Canis lupus familiaris: one gene and its partner. The protein of the gene in region 2 binds, or shares a complex with, the protein of the main gene of each other region. Links are inferred from orthologs where the notes say so. Each region holds a gene or a part of one and is shown on either strand. Other genes may lie near its edges. The genes, in order: NOP10 and NHP2.

Region 1 (2,891 bases), on a different chromosome or scaffold from region 2:
ACAGTTCTACTCGTAACTCAGCATACATACACGGATATCCACCACTAATCCCTATCAGATTTCAAGCTGGAAGAGGGCTTAGAAACGAGAAAAATGAGACCAAACTGGGTAAACGGGGATCCCTGGGTGGCGCAGCGGTTTGGCGCCTGCCTTTGGCCCAGGGCGCGATCCTGGAGACCCGGGATCGAATCCCACGTCGGGCTCCCGGTGCATGGAGCCTGCTTCTCCCTCTGCCTGTGTCTCTGCCTCTCTCTCTCTCTATGTGACTATCATAAATAAAAAAAAAAAAAAAAAAAAAAAAAAAAAAAAAAAAAAAAAAACTGGGTAAACGACTTTCTTAAAATTATGCAAAGGGGAAAATGCTGGTCTCCTGACTTCACTGCATTCCCTCTACAGTATAGCTGCTATTATTTTTCAAGCAACTCCTCCAGTTGAGTCAAATGTCATTTCAAGGGGCAAGAAATTACTTAAGTGACACAGGGATATTTTTCAGGGAATGCTTACACTTGCAGGAGTCTCAACCATCCATCCCATTCCCAACACCCTGTTGCACACAGCACTACTGCTACAGCAGCGACTCGAGTTTTTCTCCCAAGTGGTCTTCTTGTACCCCTTGGGTCCTCTTCCCTCTCATCTTCTTTTTTTTGTTTGTTTGTTTTTGTTTTTAAGCCCCTACCTTTCCCCCCACAACATACAAAACAAAAACTCGTTCAAATCATTTTAATAACCTCGATCTGATCCAAGATGTGAAACGATTCTGATTAGTTCCCTTAAGAGGGATGCTACCATGATTGCTTCACAGGAGCGGGCTCGAAGGCAACGAGGACACCGGATTCCCAAGCGCAAGGGTGCCGAGGAGCCTTCACGGCTCACAGTTTGAAGAGGCTGGTTTCGGAAAGTCCCTGAGGAGTAGCAGGAGGGACACGAGAGCTAAGGGGCCTCAGAGCACGGGGCGCGGCTGCTGGGTCATCAGCACCTTGAAGCGTTTCTTGACGGTGATTCGGTGACGGGAGTACTTGTCATCTGGGGAGAAGCGAGCGGGATGCGCTGAACAGGTCTGCTGTCCCATAGGGTCAAGCTTCTGCCCGAAGAAAAAAGAAAATTTCAGTACAGGAATGGCGGGAAAACCCGCCCGAGAGCGTCGACAGGGAGGCGGAGGTAGGGGACGGGAGGAAGCTGCGCAGAGACGGGTGAACCAGAGGCAGGGGCCGGGCGCCCACACCGACAGCCGCACCCTCCTTCCAGCGCTCGAGGTTTCGGGCTTCCCAGGCCCCTCACCCCCGGCAACCGGGGGCGTCTCGCCGCTCCTCCAGCCTGCTGGTCCACAGGACTATTTACCACCTGCTTTCTCGTCTCACCTTAAGCGTATAGACCCGGTCTCCCTGCTCGTTGAGGTAATACTGGAGAAACATGACCACGCGGCACACGCGACTCCCAACGCCGTCCGGCTCCCGCGGAGAGGGTGTCACGTGTTCGTCAAAGTCCTTCCGGTAAGGCCGGTAGTCTCTCTCGAGGCATGCCGGGAAGTGTAGTCCATTCCGGCCTTTCTCCCGCTGACCAGGAGGGGGCGAAGGAGTGCGGGATTTGGCCCAGTTGCAACCCAGTTGCAACCTTGCAGGCGTCGGCTTCCAGTTGCAATTTTGCGGGCGCTCTGAGACACGTGGAGTGTGCCCACTGTGTGCAAGACGCTGCTAGGAGCTAGAGGGGGGTAGGAATGAATATGGCTTGAACATCGATGCACAGAGTCCTGCCTCTACTCGCGATGCGCACCCATTTCACAGGCAGTGGGTTTCTGGGGCCTGTAGAAACAAAGGCTCCGGGATTCCGAGCCCCTTTATCTTAGGGTAGAAAGAAGAAAGTTTTCTTCCCTCCCCTCTTTTCCATCCGGTTCCCCCGTCCTATTTTAAAGTATTGGCGGTAAAGAGTGCATGATGGGTATTCAATATTAGGCACAGCGAAGAGGGCGTGAAGTTATTTTATGAAACTGGTGAAGTATATTTCAGTGGTCGAACCGAGATTTAAACTCAGGTCTCTTTGCCACAAATCCAGCGCTCTTTCTTATAGTGGTGAGTAACAATAATAGCATAATACGATGCACCTCCTAGGGTTATTTCGAATTTTTAAAAGAACGTAGAAATTCTCTTTATAGGACTCTGATTTCTTTAGGACAATGGGAGCCCAGTTATCATTACAAAGATTGTTGTTGCAGTGTTATTTACAATGGTAAAAGCATTGGAACATTTGTTAATTTTAATTTTGTTAATTTTGATTTTCTCGATTAATTTTATAACCGAGAAAAGCCTGAAAGGGTTTTTCTTTTCTTTCTTTCTTCCTTCCTTCCTTCCTTCCTTCTTTTCTTTTCTTTTCTTTTCTTTTTCTTTTTTTAGAATATAGTCTGTATTTATTTGTAGTTGCATAAAATATCTCTGTAAGGATTCACAGGAAACATATTATTGGTTTTCTCTGGAATAAAGAACTTGGTTCCAAAAAGAAAGAGGGAGGGAGAGAGAGAAGGAGAGAGAGAGATAGAGAGAAATCAGTTCCAGAGGAAAGAAGTGGGAAGGACACTTGCTGTATATTCCATTTTGCATAGTTTGACTTTAGAACCATGCTGATTTATTTCCCATTTCAAAAACTAAAATCATTTAACAGAACTTTTAAACAACAAAATAATTTAACAAAAAAAGACTTTTTGGTTTTGGAATTTCAGGCTGAATGGCAGTTTTGGATAGAGTGGTGCTTTTCAGCCAAGGGTAAGCTGAACCTTCTGTGGACTGCAGGGCTGATGGTCGTGGACTGTCAGGGACTGCAGGACAGCTTTGTAAGGACATGTGCCACAGCCAGATGCCCAGGGTTTCTTTTTTTTCTTTTTTTAATTCTTATTTATTTAT
Region 2 (4,515 bases):
AGTGCGTGCAAATGTGTTTGGCGAGCACTTCCTCTGGGGAGGTAATGCCTTTAGTTTCTGGCAAATAAGTAAATGTCACACAGTGTGACAAGTGAGATTCCACTGGGACAAGTGAGGTACGGGAGTGACACCAAGGAGTTCAGAGCTCAGCTCTCCTAGGAGAATGAAAAAAGGAACCAGGAGGGGACACTAGATCAGAAAGCTGAATGAAGGTGTCAGGCAGCCTGTGGCAGAGCTCTGGAGGTGGAGGGAAGCGTTTGAGACAGAATCAGAATGGCAGCACATACCCAGGAGCTGGCTGAGGGGGGCCTGGGGTGGCTCTGGAATCCTGGATAGGGATGAGGCCAGAGACCCTGGCAGGGGCCTCAAGTGCCAGGCTGGGAAGCATGAGCGTGGTCCAAGAAGGACAGGGAACTAATGAAGGCTTGCCAGAGAACCCTCAGGTAGGACTCATAGCTGGCAAGGTATCAGGGCTCTGGGACAAGGGCCTTGGGAGTCCTGAAGACACCAAGGAAAAGCGTTCTCTCAGGGTAGGTGGGCGGCAAACTCAAGTAAAGAGCTCTTAGTTCAAAGTACTGCGGCCCACACTCCTAGTTTTCCTTTGGTCTTCCAGGCTCTCCTCCACCAGCACCCATTCCTTGGAGGGGCCATTCAGTGCTGGTGCTGTCCTCACACGCTGATCCCTGACCGACCTGAGCCTCAGCCACGGCGTCAGATGCCATCTGTGTGCTGATAACTCCCAAATTTGTTCTTTCCTGCCTGGCCTCTCCCTTCCAGGCCCCAAATCTGTGCAGCCATCTGCCTATTTGACAGTTCTGCTGGGGGCGGGGCAGAGGGGGGTCACCTGCCAAAAAAGCACCTTAAGAACTAGTCTAGAGGGATCCCTGGGTGGTGCAGCGGTTTGGCGCCTGCCTTTGGCCCAGGACGCGATCCTGGAGACCCGGGATTGAATCCCACATCAGGCTCCCTGCATGGAGCCTGCTTCTCCCTCTGCCTGTGTCTCTGCCTCTCTCTCTCTCTCTCTCTGTGAGTATCATAAAAAAAAAAAAAAAAAAAAAAAAAAAACAAATTCACCATGGCTCACAAAGGCCACGGGAGGGTAATACTTCTGTCCACCACTCTCCCAGGTCAGATTTACTGCAGAGCATCGCACACACAAACACACACATACCCGGCACCAGCACTATTTTTCTCTCAAGCACCCCAACAGAAAAAGCACTGAGAGGCTTTATCTTGTTCTAAAAAGCGCTTACTGGGATCCCTGGGTGGCTCAGCGGTTTAGCGCCTGCCTTTGGCCCAGGGCACGATCCTGGAGTCCCGGGATCGAGTCCCGCATCAGACTCCCTGCGTGGAGCCTGCTTCTCCCTCTGCCTGTGTCTCTGCTTCTCTCTCTCTCTCTTTCTGTGTGTCTCTCATGAATGAATAAATAAAAATCTTTTTAAAAAATAAATAAAAATGAAAAGCGCTTACTGTCTGGCCTGAGAGGGAGAAAGATGTAATGAAGTCAATTCTCATCGCACCCTGCACATCCCCTCACAGTTGTCTCAGGACCTTTGATTTTGTGCGTCTTTGGTTAAAGTCACTGTCTCCCTATAGCACCGTGCCTGAAAAGTCTACGAGTGAGTGAGGCTGGGCTCTACCCGACGTGAGCTGGCTGATTCCCTTCCCTTCCCTTCCCTTCCCCGGATCTCACTGTCCCGGTGGGGCTCCTCCCAGCTCTTGGAAGTGACGCGATGCTGTCTGCCGGCGGGCAGTACCGGAGGGAGCTCACCGACTGCCTGATCACCTCGTGTCCCGGGGGCGGGCCGCCAAGCATTGGAGATGCCCATGCGACCACCCAGAAATGCAAAGTCCGGCAGGAGGGGGGCCTTACCCTTTCTCGCCTTTGTTGATAAACTTCTGTACCTCCTTCACCCCGCGCCGAATCTGTTTCTGCTTCACGGCTGCAACGACAGAAGAGTCAGCCGGAGGCCGGGGAGCCTCGGCCCGCCCCCGCGCCACCACCGGCCACCGCGCCGGCCACACCTTTCTTGATGCACTTGTAGAGCTTCCGCGTGAGACGGCGAGAGGCCAGTGGCTGCGCGATGGGATTCAGGTTCACCAGCAGCTCGTGGTAAGTGCGCTCCCCGAGGCACGCCTCCGCCTGAGCCTCCGGCGCGTCGGGATCCGCCTTTATTTTGGTCATCGCGGCGGCCACGGAAACCGGCTCCCCGCGCGGCAAACCCACGTGGCCCGGGCCTCAGGAATCACTTCCGGGTCGTCCGGTACTGCGGGAAGCGGCCGTACCTTAGCCAACGAGGAAACGACGTCTCCGACTCCAACCAATCGTCGTCCCGCGGCGCTTTAAACGCGGACCGCGGAGGGGCGGGGCCTCGGCTGGGGGCGGGGGCCTCGGCTGGGGGGCGGGGCCCGGGCGGGCGGGAAGGGACGCGGACGCGGGCTTAGGCCGGGGGAGGGCTCCGCGTCGCCGGCTCCGGGGGTGGTGGAGGGGGCGGGGTCTGCGGGGCGTAACCACGCCCGAGGGGACCGGACCCCCGCGAGGGGCGGGGCCTGCGAAAGGGAAGAAAGTGGGTTCCTGGGCTCCTCGGAGTCTGGTCCTCCCGCGGTCCGGGCAGAGCCGGGCGCTGCAGAGGCCCCCGCGCTAGCACGATGCCTCGCTCGTTCTCCCCGTCGCCCCGCTCCCTGGGCGTGTCTCCGCTCAGTCGGCCGCCCGCTCGGAAGTCACCCGGGACCGACTCCCCCGCCCCCTTCCCTGAAACTGCGGTCCCCGTCGACCTCCACGGACTTCCCCTCCCCCTTTGTTTCCTCCCGGTTCCTACCGCTGCCCGGCCGTGACCCCGGCGGGGCGCGTGGGGACCCGGAGGCTGGGACCTGGGGCGCGGTGGGCGGCGGCTCTGCAGCTATCCTCAGGGCGTCGGGGGACGCGGACGCTGGGCTGGGGGCGGGCCCACCTGGGGTGATCTGGCCTTCCCGCTGACCTCCCCCGCTTCCTGGAACGCCGGCTGGATGGTAATTCGACGATTGCTACAGATTGATTGCCGTGGATCAGGAGGCGGTAGGCCGGAAACTGGTAAGGTAGCAGAATAGGCCGGTAAGTGGAACTTTGGAAGTGTCAGGTGACCCGTGGGAGCACAGGTTAGTTAAGCCAACTTAAAAAATTAAACTTTTCACTCTGTCACCAAGTGTAGTCATTCAATAAAAATCAAGTCAATTTTAAAAATTATTTGTTTATTTATTTATTTGACAGAGAGAGCACAAGAAGGGATAGCACGAGAGGGAGAACCAGGCTTCCATTGAGCAGGGAGCCCAGGACCCCCCCCCCCCCCCCCCCCCCCCGGGATCATGACCTGAGCCAAAGGCAGCCACTTCACCGACTGAGCCACTCAGGTGGCAAGGTCAGTTTTTTGTATTTTCCATTAGAATAGCAAAAATCAAGATGCCGGCCATCCTAACCTTAGACCCCAAGCAGTTTTCATAAATAGAAACATAAATCAGTTGAACAATGAAAATATGTTATATAAACAATGAAAAAATAGTTTGAAAGTAAGCAAAATGGTACGCACAACATAACAGGATAATGATCTTTTATAAATGTTTTCACTTTGGAGTTTCTTGAGAAAAGATAGCCCCTGCCTGAAGCTTTGCGGCCGGTACTTTCCTGCCTACGACTCTGCTGTACCCCTGTAGGTCCAGTAGTAGCAATTCTTGCCTTCCTGGGGAAGCCGTCCTGAAGCTGTGAGAGCTGCTCCGTGGGCTTCCCTGAACACAGAACTGCAGGGCTCTGAAGGGTGCTTTTCCTTTCTTTTTTTTAAACCTTTTTTCAAAGGCTGAATTTATTTATTCATGAGAGAGACAGAGAGAGGCAGAGGGAGAAGCAGGCTCCCTGTGGGGAACCCCACGCGGGACTCATCCCAGGACCCTGAGATCACACTGAGCCAGAGGCAGACGCTCAACCACTGAGCCACCAGGCATTCCCCACCCCCACCCCCGCCCCCGCCTTTTTTTTTTTTTTTTTAAGATTAATTTATTTGACGGAGAGAGAGAGCATGAGTGAGCAGAAGCAGGCAGAGAGGAAGAGGGAGAAGCAGGTTCCCCACTGAGCAGAGAGCCTAAAGTGGGGCTCCATCCCAGGATTCTGGGATCATGAAAGATCAGATGCTTAACTAGGCCGCCCAGGTGCCCCTGAAAGGTGCTCTTCTAGTCTTGTCTCTGAGTGGTGTTCCTGTCAACTTTTAAAGCCTTGTAGGACCCCCCCCCCCCATAAAGTGTCAGGTCACAGAGGGGCCAAGTACTGCCACATGTATGCATGGGACAGGATGGACTGCGTCCTTATGGAGAATTTCATCCTCAAAAAACCTGATTCCAATAAATGTGTTGACCAAAGTCTCAGTTGTTGAAAGCCTCTCAGTTCTGATTGGCAGGAGGAAGGAAGTAAACGTTTATGCACCAAGTACATTACTCGGGGTATTTCATCCGTTGCTCACAAAGAATGCCTTTATTACTCACCATTTTTTT

What was found.
Region 1: NHP2 (region 2) and NOP10 share a complex: the UniProt entries of both Homo sapiens proteins name them as parts of the H/ACA small nucleolar ribonucleoprotein (H/ACA snoRNP) complex. The link is inferred for Canis lupus familiaris from reciprocal best matches to the Homo sapiens genes NHP2 and NOP10.

Annotation. Positions count from the first base shown.
Region 1 is NC_049251.1:1,036,435-1,039,325, reverse strand, and holds NOP10 (H/ACA ribonucleoprotein complex subunit 3), read right to left. Parts: upstream 1,515-2,891; 5' UTR 1,413-1,514; coding exon 1,359-1,412; intron 1,082-1,358; coding exon 941-1,081; 3' UTR 706-940; downstream 1-705. Other genes in the region: NUTM1 (NUT family member 1), read left to right, coding at 1,979-2,066. UniProt on the Homo sapiens protein: Required for ribosome biogenesis and telomere maintenance. Part of the H/ACA small nucleolar ribonucleoprotein (H/ACA snoRNP) complex, which catalyzes pseudouridylation of rRNA.
Region 2 is NC_049232.1:3,653,319-3,657,833, reverse strand, and holds the start of NHP2 (H/ACA ribonucleoprotein complex subunit 2), read right to left. Parts: upstream 2,937-4,515; 5' UTR 2,820-2,936; intron 2,324-2,819; exon of another isoform or gene 2,268-2,323; 5' UTR 2,186-2,267; coding exon 2,026-2,185; intron 1,944-2,025; coding exon 1,874-1,943; intron 1-1,873. UniProt on the Homo sapiens protein: Required for ribosome biogenesis and telomere maintenance. Part of the H/ACA small nucleolar ribonucleoprotein (H/ACA snoRNP) complex, which catalyzes pseudouridylation of rRNA.